2 linked regions of the Neodiprion lecontei genome follow. The protein of the gene in region 2 interacts with the protein of the main gene of each other region in a pairwise test. Links are inferred from orthologs where the notes say so. Each region holds a gene or a part of one and is shown on either strand. Other genes may lie near its edges.

The links.
Region 1: the proteins of nuclear pore complex protein Nup50 (region 2) and importin subunit alpha interact in a two-hybrid assay, tested with the Drosophila melanogaster proteins (2 studies listed by BioGRID). The link is inferred for Neodiprion lecontei from reciprocal best matches to the Drosophila melanogaster genes Nup50 and Pen.

Annotation. Positions count from the first base shown.
Region 1 is NC_060266.1:18,041,070-18,046,321, forward strand, and holds the start of importin subunit alpha, read right to left. Parts: upstream 3,274-5,252; 5' UTR 3,259-3,273; coding exon 3,076-3,258; intron 2,867-3,075; coding exon 2,798-2,866; intron 1,244-2,797; exon of another isoform or gene 1,171-1,243; coding exon 854-1,170; exon of another isoform or gene 787-853; intron 1-786. Other genes in the region: vesicle transport protein SFT2B, read right to left, coding at 4,771-4,899, 5,189-5,252. UniProt on the Drosophila melanogaster protein: Binds specifically and directly to substrates containing either a simple or bipartite NLS motif. Promotes docking of import substrates to the nuclear envelope. Seems to act as a cytosolic receptor for both simple and bipartite NLS motifs.
Region 2 is NC_060265.1:9,405,715-9,412,255, reverse strand, and holds nuclear pore complex protein Nup50, read right to left. Parts: upstream 4,367-6,541; 5' UTR 4,137-4,366; intron 3,576-4,136; 5' UTR 3,565-3,575; coding exon 3,403-3,564; intron 3,294-3,402; coding exon 2,404-3,293; intron 2,256-2,403; coding exon 2,112-2,255; intron 1,949-2,111; coding exon 1,642-1,948; 3' UTR 561-1,641; downstream 1-560. Other genes in the region: uncharacterized protein LOC107217553, read left to right, coding at 5,002-5,079.

The sequences.
Region 1 (5,252 bases), on a different chromosome or scaffold from region 2:
ACAATCTCAAAGTTCCAACATAAGTATAGATAGTTAAGGGGATGTATGGATGAAAGTAGACGGCTAAACAAAGTGGATAAATTTTAGTAATTTATATCTAGACAACTAATTATTCAATTCCATTGAAGTTTGTTTCATTCAAAAGTATATAAAATCTCTTGGATATTTATTTTATTGTCCACAACTGATAGGAAGCATTGTTATCGACGTTAACGTCAACCATTTCGCTCGGTGACATGTTTTGAGCTGCCCACTATATCTAAAAAACAGTTCAACCAATTTACTTCAAATTTTAAGGCACTATTCTTCCGTACTTTAGGATCTTTGACATGCTCCCAAGTTTTTTTTTTTTGTTTTTCATTTTTTGGTTTTTTTTTGCCAGTGGAATACAAAAAAAAAAACCTAAAATTTTTACAGAACATCAAAACTCATCATTAACTAGTAACTTTTTTTTTTTTTTTTTTTTTTTTTTAACTCGGACCATAGCAATGGGGATCAACGTTTCAAAAATACTTTCTTCAATTTTTAACTGTTTTTGGGACATCGAAAAACATGTAATCGAGCATAATTATTGACGTTATTGTTATTAAAAGTGCTTCCTATTAATCGATTCTAATAAAGAATAAAAATGTAAATGAATGTCAATCTACATACTTTTGAGTAAAATAAATCCCAATCCTAACAAATGATTAGCTTTGGAGGTATAAATCCCCAAAAGTCACCCATTTTTTCAGCTGTATACACATATTTTAAAACCCCTTAATAAGTTTTGTCGAACTTTTGCAGTGAGGTGCCATTAGAAGTGACAGTGGTAGGATGTGTTTAGCTAAATGCAGAAGAGTAATAAACTGACTTGTGATCATGGCTAAGAAATTCGACGCAACGTGGAACAATGCCTTGGCGAATCAGGGTATCAATCGGAGGCTTTTTCTCTCTGCTCAACATCTTGCGACAGGCCTGCGTAGCCTGAAGTTGAGTAGGCTCATCACTGGAATTCATTCCAGTAATAATTTCCTCAGTACTCAGATTGATTGGAACTGCTGTCTCATTCTCCCCTGGGGGGCTCTGGGGCTCACACCCAACACTGATGTTCCGACGTTTCAATAACTGATCATCTCTTCTAGCCTTGCGCAGCTCAACCGAAACCTCGTTCCTCCTCCTTCTGACATCCTTGATTAAATAGATAACAATTTGTACAGTTATAAACTTGCCCGATACGAGTAAATATCAAAATAGAAGTCAAGTAAACTTTTTTTAATTTCTGCATAATTTGATGATATCCACTGAGATGGTGATTGCAAAGATGGACTGAATAGATGACATCTGTTACATTGAATACTTTAACTTCCACAAATTGATCAACGGTATAAAATTGATATTAAAAATTATCCAAGTTCTCTTGCTAGTTTATGATATAAAAAAGGTACGATTTGTGTAAAAAATATGATATAATATTTGGTAAGAATTTGCATAAACATACTTTTTGAATGGTTTATTTTGAAATCTTCGATGTCAATAGAGTGAACACTCAACCATGAGCATGCCAATAACTTTGTAGAGCCAGGTGTTCAAGGGATTAGTCGGAAGTTGGGTGTATTTTGAAAACAGGTTTATAACTAAGCATGTGAATGAATACATGTCTATATAGGAAATTACATATAGATTTACAGTATTGGGTGACTGGGTGATTAGCTGCTGAATTTTATTTCATTTTTAATTGATAAAAAACCTTCTTTTTTGTAATGATTTAAAGATTCCATTTAATCAGTAAATTTGAAGTCATCACAGACTTTCTTTCAAATCATTCCTGTTGGACAGTACTGTCTGGTATTAATTAATGACTACAGTGTTACATATTGATCAGTCACTATTAGACTAGTACGAATTTTGTTTCAGACGTTTATCAATATGTTTGGAAGAAACTGATGGTAAATTATTTGTCGATACATTAGGGTTCAATATTCTAAGATAACAAAGAAAAAATGGATTCAAATGATATTGAAAATCTGGCACGTATGGGTTGAATAAGTACCAAAGATAAATGTTATTGAATTGCAGAAAAAATGGATGGGTAAAGAATAGCAATTATCATATGGAATTAAATTAATATGGTTTTTTATACACATTCACATAATTTTCTTAGTGACTAAAATCATTTGAGTTTATATACAGCAGGATTAAGTTAGTTCCCGCAGACTGACTTCAATGTATAGCTGAAATCTTTATAACTTCTATCGGATGGGTTTGCAAAATTTACAGTATTTTCAAAGACGACAGAATGGCAATTACTTGATATGATCAAATACGACGATACCTTTTGTAGAAGTGCTTTGCCATCGTTGTGTATGATGCCAAATTCTCACTAGGATCTTTCATATTCAATTATACAACACAGCTTAGTGAAATTCATTTCCCTTGAATTTTTAATATCATAAATAGCTTTGGATTAAAACTGTTATGACGTTAGAAACAAAGGTAAATAAATTTTTACTGGCCGTGTAATTTTTAAATTTGGAATATATCGAGGAATCAGCCATAAGGGTAGCAAAGATTTTCTAAGTACATCTATTTTTTTTAACGAGATTCGTTTTTTAAGAACATGAGGGAGTACAGAACAAAGAAAAAATGTTGGAATTGTACAACACAGAGACGACTGGTCCAGGGAAGCAGAATATTTCCAGTAAAAGTGAATCTGGTTGTCTGGATGGAAATGAAAATGAAGAAAAGACAAATCTGAGAGACAACTTTTTTGAATAATAAAATGAATGCGATACAAATAATTGCAAAATATACGTACTTCATGCTTGTTGTGGTTCTTGAATTTGGACAATCGACCGGATCCGTTTTCCTCTGGGGTCGGCATTGTCTGGAAGATGAGATGTTAGAAATACATAAGAAATCCTATCTTCAAAAGAGTTGTAAAATTGGTGAGGAAAAAGAAAAGTAACGGTTGCACGCGTGTCGATCCGTGTTGATCTTGTTTTTGAAAGAAACGTTACAACCCCGAATTCGCGGATCGACAAAATAACCCAAATGGATTGCAAAAGATTTAAGTAAGAAGAATATAATCCTTACACGGGGGAAGAATACGATGCACGTTGAATTATTTTGAAATATTCTTAAATCGCGATCCCGCGCGAAAGTAAGCGATCGTTTGTCAAGCGATGGCCGACTCCACTCGACTCGGGCTTCAGAGATTTGAAGATTCAGATTTCTGTTTGGACCTGTTGCGCCGTTAACCGAATGCCGGATTTGCATCACTGTAACAGGGTTGCCAGATAAATAGTACCGCAAGTTGCCATAAGGTGCGTTCCGATAGCTTCCACCAAGGTCCCTAGATGAGACAGGTCAAGGCACACGTAGGTAAAAAAATTAGTCAGAATGCGCCAAAAGTTTCGTATGACAATGGATGCTATTCATTTAGAGCACAATACGACACGGTGTAAACATTTCTGCTCTATTTCTTTGCCCGGATTGGCCGCTAACAATAGAAATTTGTATACTGTGTCACACTGTGCTCTAAATGGAAAGCACTAAGTGTGGTTCTGATTCCTGACCTGTCACAATCATTAACCTCATAATATATACGTGCTTCTATTTATTTCGTGAACGTCAGGACACTAAGGGCGCAACTCGTTAATGCTTAACCTCAAAAAATTGAGCATGATTGGTCAAAACTGGTTAATGCGGGAATATGTAAGTTTGAAATTTTGTGGGCGAACGCGCATACAACTTTTTTGCCCACGTTATAGTGAGAAAAACTGGAACACGCGTGTCTTGACCTATCTAATCTAGGGACCTTGGCTTCCCAGTTAACAATCATTTATCTCTTTTGCGCTGCTGGGGTTCTTGAGTAGCTGTGCCTCTGTCCTAGGGAGTTTTTAGCGTTGCCTATTTATTTCAGAACGCACCCAAAAGCAGGCGCACTATACTCACACCGCGGGCGCACATGTAGACAATGTAGCCAACCTCCCAATCGTGGAGTCTTTGCAAGGAGCACGAACGCAAATGTGTAAGTACCGTGCTTGTCATAGTCGTTCAAGTAGGATTATTTTTTGTACATATATACCATCAAGTATTATTGAAATCATTTTGTTTTTCCATTCAATCGATTCTTCGTTTGTCATAATATTGTTTCCTATTGCTTTATATTATCAGTTCTATAGTGTTATAATGAATGTGGAACTTTTTGGAAAAGTTGTATGAAGGGTAAAAGTGATAAAAATTTTTCAAATTTTGCCGTATAGAAACATACAGTAATACGTACGGGGCATCGCAATTTTCCATGTCCATCATTTGAATATGAAGTCCTGTAAATTCCAGATTTTTTCATCAAGCCATTTCCAAGATATCGATCCAGTTTGTCAAACATAAAAACTTAAATTTGCTCTTAGACACAATCAACAGATTATGAATTTGATTTTATTAAACTAGATATCATAAGTTATTCAATACATGTATAAATGCAGTCCATAATTATTATCCGAGAATGGCAAAAACCAAGCTTTTTAAGAAATATTAAATAACAGAAATCTTTTCTTAATTTAATTTATAATGAGTAAGATATCATGATAATCCTAACTATTTCAAGAAGTCTTATATATCAGGATATTTTATACGACCACTCGAGCTTCCAAAATTACTGGATACCCTTTGCAGCTCACATAATTGGTTAGTTCATTTACATTTTATCATTTGTGTATACAATAATTTCTCATGCCTGAGCATATTACTCATGATATTGTTACATTTGGACACATAAATTGTAGTTCACGTAATGCATGTTCCTATTGTCTTCTTGACGGCATCACGGGCATATGGTATATATGAAAGGGAATACCATGTCATTGCCAGTGACTGTATGATTATAAATATGAGGGCTAATCCAGCTTTATGGAACTGCAAATAAAACATAATACAGTTATTGAAAAATAAAAAAATAAAACAACAAAATTGGTAATAGAGTAAATACATTCAACCATTAACGTAAGGTAATCGCCCATACAAATTTATTTGTAGGAAATGTAAAATATTAAATCAATGACATAAGAATTGGAAAACACAATTTTGTATGCATTGAAGCAATGAAGATCATTGCTCCTGAAATTTAGTAGAACCAAAAATAGCAATTATACTTGTTTGCATATTTTAAAGGGATTTACAATGTTTCTTATTCTTTGTCACTTACCGCAAGAGCTGATGTCAAGGTCATTACAATGGAGAAAAACACGAGTATCGTTGCTATAACTCTT
Region 2 (6,541 bases):
TATAGAGGTGTAAAGTGGTGTGATAAATGCAATGGCAAACATTGTTGCCCGTTGCAAAATTTTGTATGCATCACTTCGGTAAAAATAGAAAAGATCTTTTTTTTTTTTCGTCCGTATTTCTGCACCACTGCTAACGTTCAATTACACAGTTAATACTTGCGTTGAAAATAATTATGTATTTACTTACAATTACAAATATATATCTTAGGATTAAAACATTTAGTAATAATATTAAATAGTAAAAGAAAAATATTATGAAAAAATTGTAACTAGAAGAATGTTGTGTTGAATACTTGAGACGATTGAAAATATTTAATTACTATTATACACGTTCATACCCTAATAATAAATGGAGAAATTAATATTTTACGGAAATTAAAAGGTATGAGGAAATGTAGAATATTACGAGTTGCATATATTATACAGGCGCTATAAATTGTATCTAAAATAATAGATGAAACATAATTTGAGATGGAGACGTTCTAAACAGATTTATATATCCCTGAATTGTTGCTTTTTGAGGGAAAGGATACTCAATGTAATTCAACTACATGTAGCGGTATAATTTCAGATGCTTTATTTATATACAGTTAATTATTTAACATGGGGATTATGTAACAGTGTACTTTTATTCGTATCAAAGTATCGTGGAAACTCACTATAATTCATTTTATTCCCGTAATATTTATTTCAACACAAGTAAAAAGTAAAATTTTACGGAATAAAGGCTAATAATAAATTCACAGCAACGCGCATCTAAGACTTTAATACAAAAAAGTTGACCTAAAGTATTTTGAATATCCGATGTATTACTGGTCAATGATGAGAGTTTATTCGTTTCAATTTTTGTTCAACTGACGGTCGCGTATCATCGTTGGTTACTCATCTGTCTGAAAGAGTTAATTATATTTTCGATTAGTACTAACAGATACAGACGTTGTAATGTTCGGTCACATGCATTACTAGATCCATTTGCATTTACGTTAACACGTCATCACCCACGATACGACACTATTGTCGATAATAGAGCATAGAATCCATTTTACATAGATTCATTTTCTGTCTCTGATAACTTAAGTAAGTTACTATTTCTTATCGCCACTTAAAAAAATTTCTTATCTACAGTAACAATTTGGAGGAAGTGTCGGTAAAATTTTTTTTGCAGTATTTATAATACCAAGACTAAACGATCTCATATATAAAAGTGGCTTTTATTCTTTCTAAAATCAAATGAGGTGAACAGGGAGTATTCCTGTAATGAGTTTAGCAGAAACCACTTATTTGTGTATAACTCATCAACATATAAACGCGTCCGAGTTCAATTTGTTCCGAATGCGTATTCGCGTGATTTATTTGAAGCTTGAATTCGTTTGTTGCAATATTCCAATTATTGATCACGATTGTGATCATTGTGTAAATGTAAAACTGACGAGACTGTATTCTACTTGCGTATTATTATCTATATCAATAGTACTAAGCTGTAAATGTCGTACATTAACATTTATATAGCATCTTTAGTTTCTGATAAGAAACATGTACACATTCACGATTGTTTTGCTTTCATTCAAGAATTGACATCTGCCATAATGACTTATGGATTGATATCCGTTGAACAATGGTCGGTGGGCATGATTAAAAAAATCATTTCTTGTGCTTATTAAGCTTTTCTAACAACGCATCGGCGTCCTCGCTTGTCTTAACTCTTAACAAAACTGGTGTCGGTGGTGGTTTGGAATCTGGTGTTGGAAGAAGAACCATCATAACGTTATTCTTTCCCATACGCTGCATTGGTATGCCCTCGGTTAATATTGTATTCAAGAGTAAATTTCCGCACGAAGTATCGGCACGCACTATTAGCTGTGTTTTGTCGTTGGGTGTAGGCTTCAGAAACAGGGTACCTACTCCTCGATCAGCAAAATTTCCATCTTTTTTGACAAATACCTTGCATCTGCGAAAAGCAATTTATATCCCATAAATTTCATCTGCCATTGAATATCGTGCTAGTGTAGTGAACAAATATTCACTAGAACATAGTACGTAACAAACATATTTAGGTAAATTTCATATAAAACAGATAAATAAGAATCGCATGTTCCTTTCAACTGTCTTACCGTTGTTCATAAATTGCATCGTCTTCCGTGATTGGTTTGAAGTCTGGTTTCGGTGGTTCGTCATCATCATCTTTTTCTTCATCTTCTTTAGTCTCTTCTGCTTCTGTAGTTTTAGCCACATTGCCAAAAGAAAATGGTTTTCCACTGTAAGGAGATATATAGATACAATTACAAAAAGAAGGCTGATAATGTTTCAATATTTCGTGAATATATGGGTAGAAAAACATGAAAACGGAATATGAAACTCATCGTAACAACCAATAAAAAATTTACTCCCGGAAAGAGGACGTACCCTCCGAAACTGAATCCTGCCGAAGCTGTACTGGTTGCTGAACTTTGGCCAAAGCTGAATGTGGCTGTGGGACCAGATGGTGGACACGAAAGACTTGCTGTTGGTTTCTGATCAGTAATGTCAGATTCGGTTTCCTTTTTCTTATCTTCTACAGCTGTAAATGATGTACTTAAAAATGGATTCCGTTCAGTGGAAACACTGCCAAAAACGCTTTTGACTTCCGAGGTAGTTTCAGTATTCCCGAATAACGATTTTCCAACATTCACATTCTTGAAAATCGATGATTCGCTTTTCGACTCTGCATTTCCCACTGATGGATTACTAAAGACCGACTTCTTAGTCTGTGATTCAGTCTTTCCAGTTTCCAAATTCGACTTACTCTTAACGGGTGAACTTTCCAAGTTAGATTTTTCCCCAGTCTTTTCTGGGCTCAAAATTGTCGGGGTGGTTTCCTGTCCGTGTTTAGCTTCAATTTCTTTAAGATGCTTGTCATAATCTTTAAATATTGGGGTTAAAATACAAAACGGATTTGAATCTACGTGTGACTTGATCCATTGAGTGACGCTTTCGTTAAGTCCCTTCAATTTTGCATAATAATCTGTTGATTTTTTGAAAATCTTCCCATCTTCCTTTCCAGTTGGAAAATGCTTAGCATCCGAATTTTTCGACATTGATTCCTGTTTCAACGAAGAAGAATCTTTGCTTTCTGGCCCATTCGCTGCTGGGTTAACCGATCCATTGCTCGAACCTACTTTATTAGCTACCGTTTTTTCACTACTCTTCGTATTTGTTGCATTACTAGTATTTGCAAGGAAGCTAAAGGGTGAAGAACCGGCAGGTGCAGCAGTTTTGAAAGCAGTAAACGCGCCAAACGCTGCTTTTGGTGCATCCTGAAACAGTTTGAAATATTACGAGATACAATCAACTTCGGACAACAAAAAAGCAATGCGCTTTGGTGCTAGGGATCTTTGTATTTTTCAGCAATGTTTCCAAACTTACATCCCCTCCGCTGTTGACTATTCGCCGTCTGGCCGATTTGATGACTCTTCTCTGCAAATCTTCTTTCGATGCTTTGCTAAACGTTCCTGCCTCTTCCCGAGTTTCTTCATCGTTCCAATTATCGTGATTCAGCTCTGAGGTAGCAGTTCGTTTGCCAGCCATCACTGAGCGGTCTAAAATCAGAATGATTTTTTCAGTTTTAATTTCAGACAGGCTGTGGTAATCGATTTGCATTTAATCAACAAATTATCAGAGCAATATTTCAATTCCCGAGGATAGAAGGACTATCGTGTCGTAAGAATTTAGGTATTAATCCAGTTAGGCGCTTATCTCTTACGAAACATTTAGCAATTGCGATAAGCATTAGGATTTTGAAATTGTCGAAGAGCGAATATGCGATCTGAATATAACAGCGGGTTTACGGTGAAGTTGACATGGCAATGCAAGTACATAGTAACAGTCGATTCAATACTGTTTCGAGGTTATGAAAAGGATTCGGTCGAAATAGAATTGGATCAATTTCGGCCGTTACCCGCTTAAACAGTTTCAACATAACGCCATTCAATGTGATTTCCGTAACAAATAAAAACCAGCAGTCGATCGATATGAAATTGGAGTGCGAGTAAAAAAAAAGTACACATTTATAGGTTAACCGCCACTCGATCGGGAGTATATTCGAAAGTGGCAATTGTCAATTCATTGCAACGATACAGCGTCGAGAATCGCTAGCGTACCTGAGTTTTGATAAACGGTATGCAATCTGTCGATGAAAAGTCCACGTTAACCGCGTTAGTGTCTATTTGTACGATAATATCTCGCGAAACATGAGTGATAAATCGCAAGTAAATGTTCCGCGCTAAACTGGCGCGTTAGACTTTTTGCCTTTTGATGAAAAAAAAATGTCAACTCGGGGCCGGCTGGGCTGGCCGGCAATCGTAGTTGGTCGTGTAGTGTCTGTGAAGGGCCGAAGGGGGGATGAAAATTCGGGAGTTGTGGACCAGGCCGTTGTCACGACGAGGGCGCCACGATCATTCGGCAGGCATCAACCACACACCCCTGCGCGCTCTTATTATTGGGAAAACATCTGCCGCTGCGTCGGAAAATCTCTTTTAAATGGCCGAGATTTAATTGAAACTGAGTTGAAATATCGTGTAACACAACGGGGGTAGGTTGTCCGATAAACAAGCTAAATGTTTACACCGGTAGACCGGTCGGTATTTTCCCAAATTAACCGCAACTTAGATGGAAAATAGCTTTGGCAATACCGAAAGGGGGGTTAACGCAAGTTGCTCGGTGTGTCGTGTGTCTGTCGTCGTCGTTGTGCCCGCGTCGGTGAAAACCTACACACGGCCCCGTCAAATATCCGACTTGTGCGGATGGTCAATTGTTTGTGGTGGTGGGTGAATCGGGCAAGTGCCGTGGTGCGCGCCGTGCCGAGGAGCCGAGAGGAGAGAGATATTGCTTCGCTCTATTTTGTGAATAATTATATCTGTTGAGAGAAAATTCAACTCAACTGGTGTCGTCGTTGAAACGCGGTGCCGATAACGAAGCGAATTCGTCAACTTCGGAATAACTCGAGTCCAACTTCCAGGCCCGACTATGGAGATATCGAAAAGTTTGCAGGATGAGATACACTCCGTGCAAAACAAGCTCAAATACGCCATACAAAATCATCAGGCAAGTAATTTCCTCCTCGTTGTTTGTCCGTCGACGGACTTTTAATACCTGCATCGTACAACCTGACGCGCGTTTCTTGTGCAGTTACATGTACCGTACACGCATGTATCACCGTAGGCTTCCTGCATCATTTACACACTGTTACACTCTCGGAGCGCAGCGACGACGAGGGGAAAGGGGGCTTAGAGATGATGCTAAAACTTTCGACGAGTGCGATCAAGCCGTGCAGCGCGATTGACTTTTTCGATCCCAATTAATTTTCCGATCACATTCACGCGGTTGTCGGATTTAAGAGGAGAATTTACCCAAGGAAAAATCAGCGCGATAGAGATACAAGTTGTTCGATATCGACGTAACTTGTGCGCCTAATTTCGCGTGCAGTTTAACCGCTGCAATTATACCGCAACATCGCTATAAATTTTGTCGGATATATCGAGCCAAACCAACGATAAGTCTACGTCTCCACGCACAGTTTTTCAGGTGCGACGTATAAAATAGCGTGTATTTCTCGCTATCGTCGGTGTGTTTTTTTTTTATCGTCAGTTTGATACTTCAATTAACCAAGGTCGCCGCTGTGGCCGTATATTGTCGACGCGTCGTTACGTTTTGTATGATTTACGATACAGGCATAGTTATTTCCACGTCTTATTTCGACGATCTCTGTCACATCTCCGCGTCGTTACGTTTGCATTTCACGTGATAATTCGTCGATCTTCACCCGCAGCTGCAACATCGTTACCCACAAATCGCACACAACGTGTCCGCTTTCTTTCTTTCATCGTCAAATTGACAAATAATATAAGTTTCGGTATTAGTTATTGTTGCGCGAGTATCAAACTACTCGAGTAGTATTAAACTTACTCCGTTGCTCGTGTCGTGTTCTTCTTTACCAATTGAAAGCAGCGCGCAACATGTCGCGCGCGACTTTTTCACCCGCACAAGAGTTAAAAATCTTACCTAAGAAGTCACGCGAGGTAACCTCGCGTAACATAAAAACTTTCCGCCACTTTTTTACTTCCGCTTTTCGCTTCGCATTATTTCCCAAGTTTACACGTTACAACTTTAAACCGCTGTGAAACTTTTATTATCATCCCCCTCCCCCCCCCCCCATCGTTATAAATATACACACGCTGTTGCGTGTACTGCATGTAGTAGTTTTCAATCGACGGAAAATTCTCCCGCGTTATCTTCGTAAGAATTAACGTCTCACTTAGCATCGTTGAATATTCGAGCAACGTATCGTATGTACAACCAAATCTTATGCCTTGGTTTGTACGTATATGCGTACTGCGTGCAAGTATGTCTCTGCGACACGGTAAACGATATTTCCGTTTCGCAGCGCAACGATAAAAGAATAATACCAAGAAGAATAAGCAGATCTCCGGTTCTTTCTTTTTTTTTTTTTACAGATATATGCGTATTGTTTTGTCTCGCACACACGATACGTGGGATAAAATTTCCA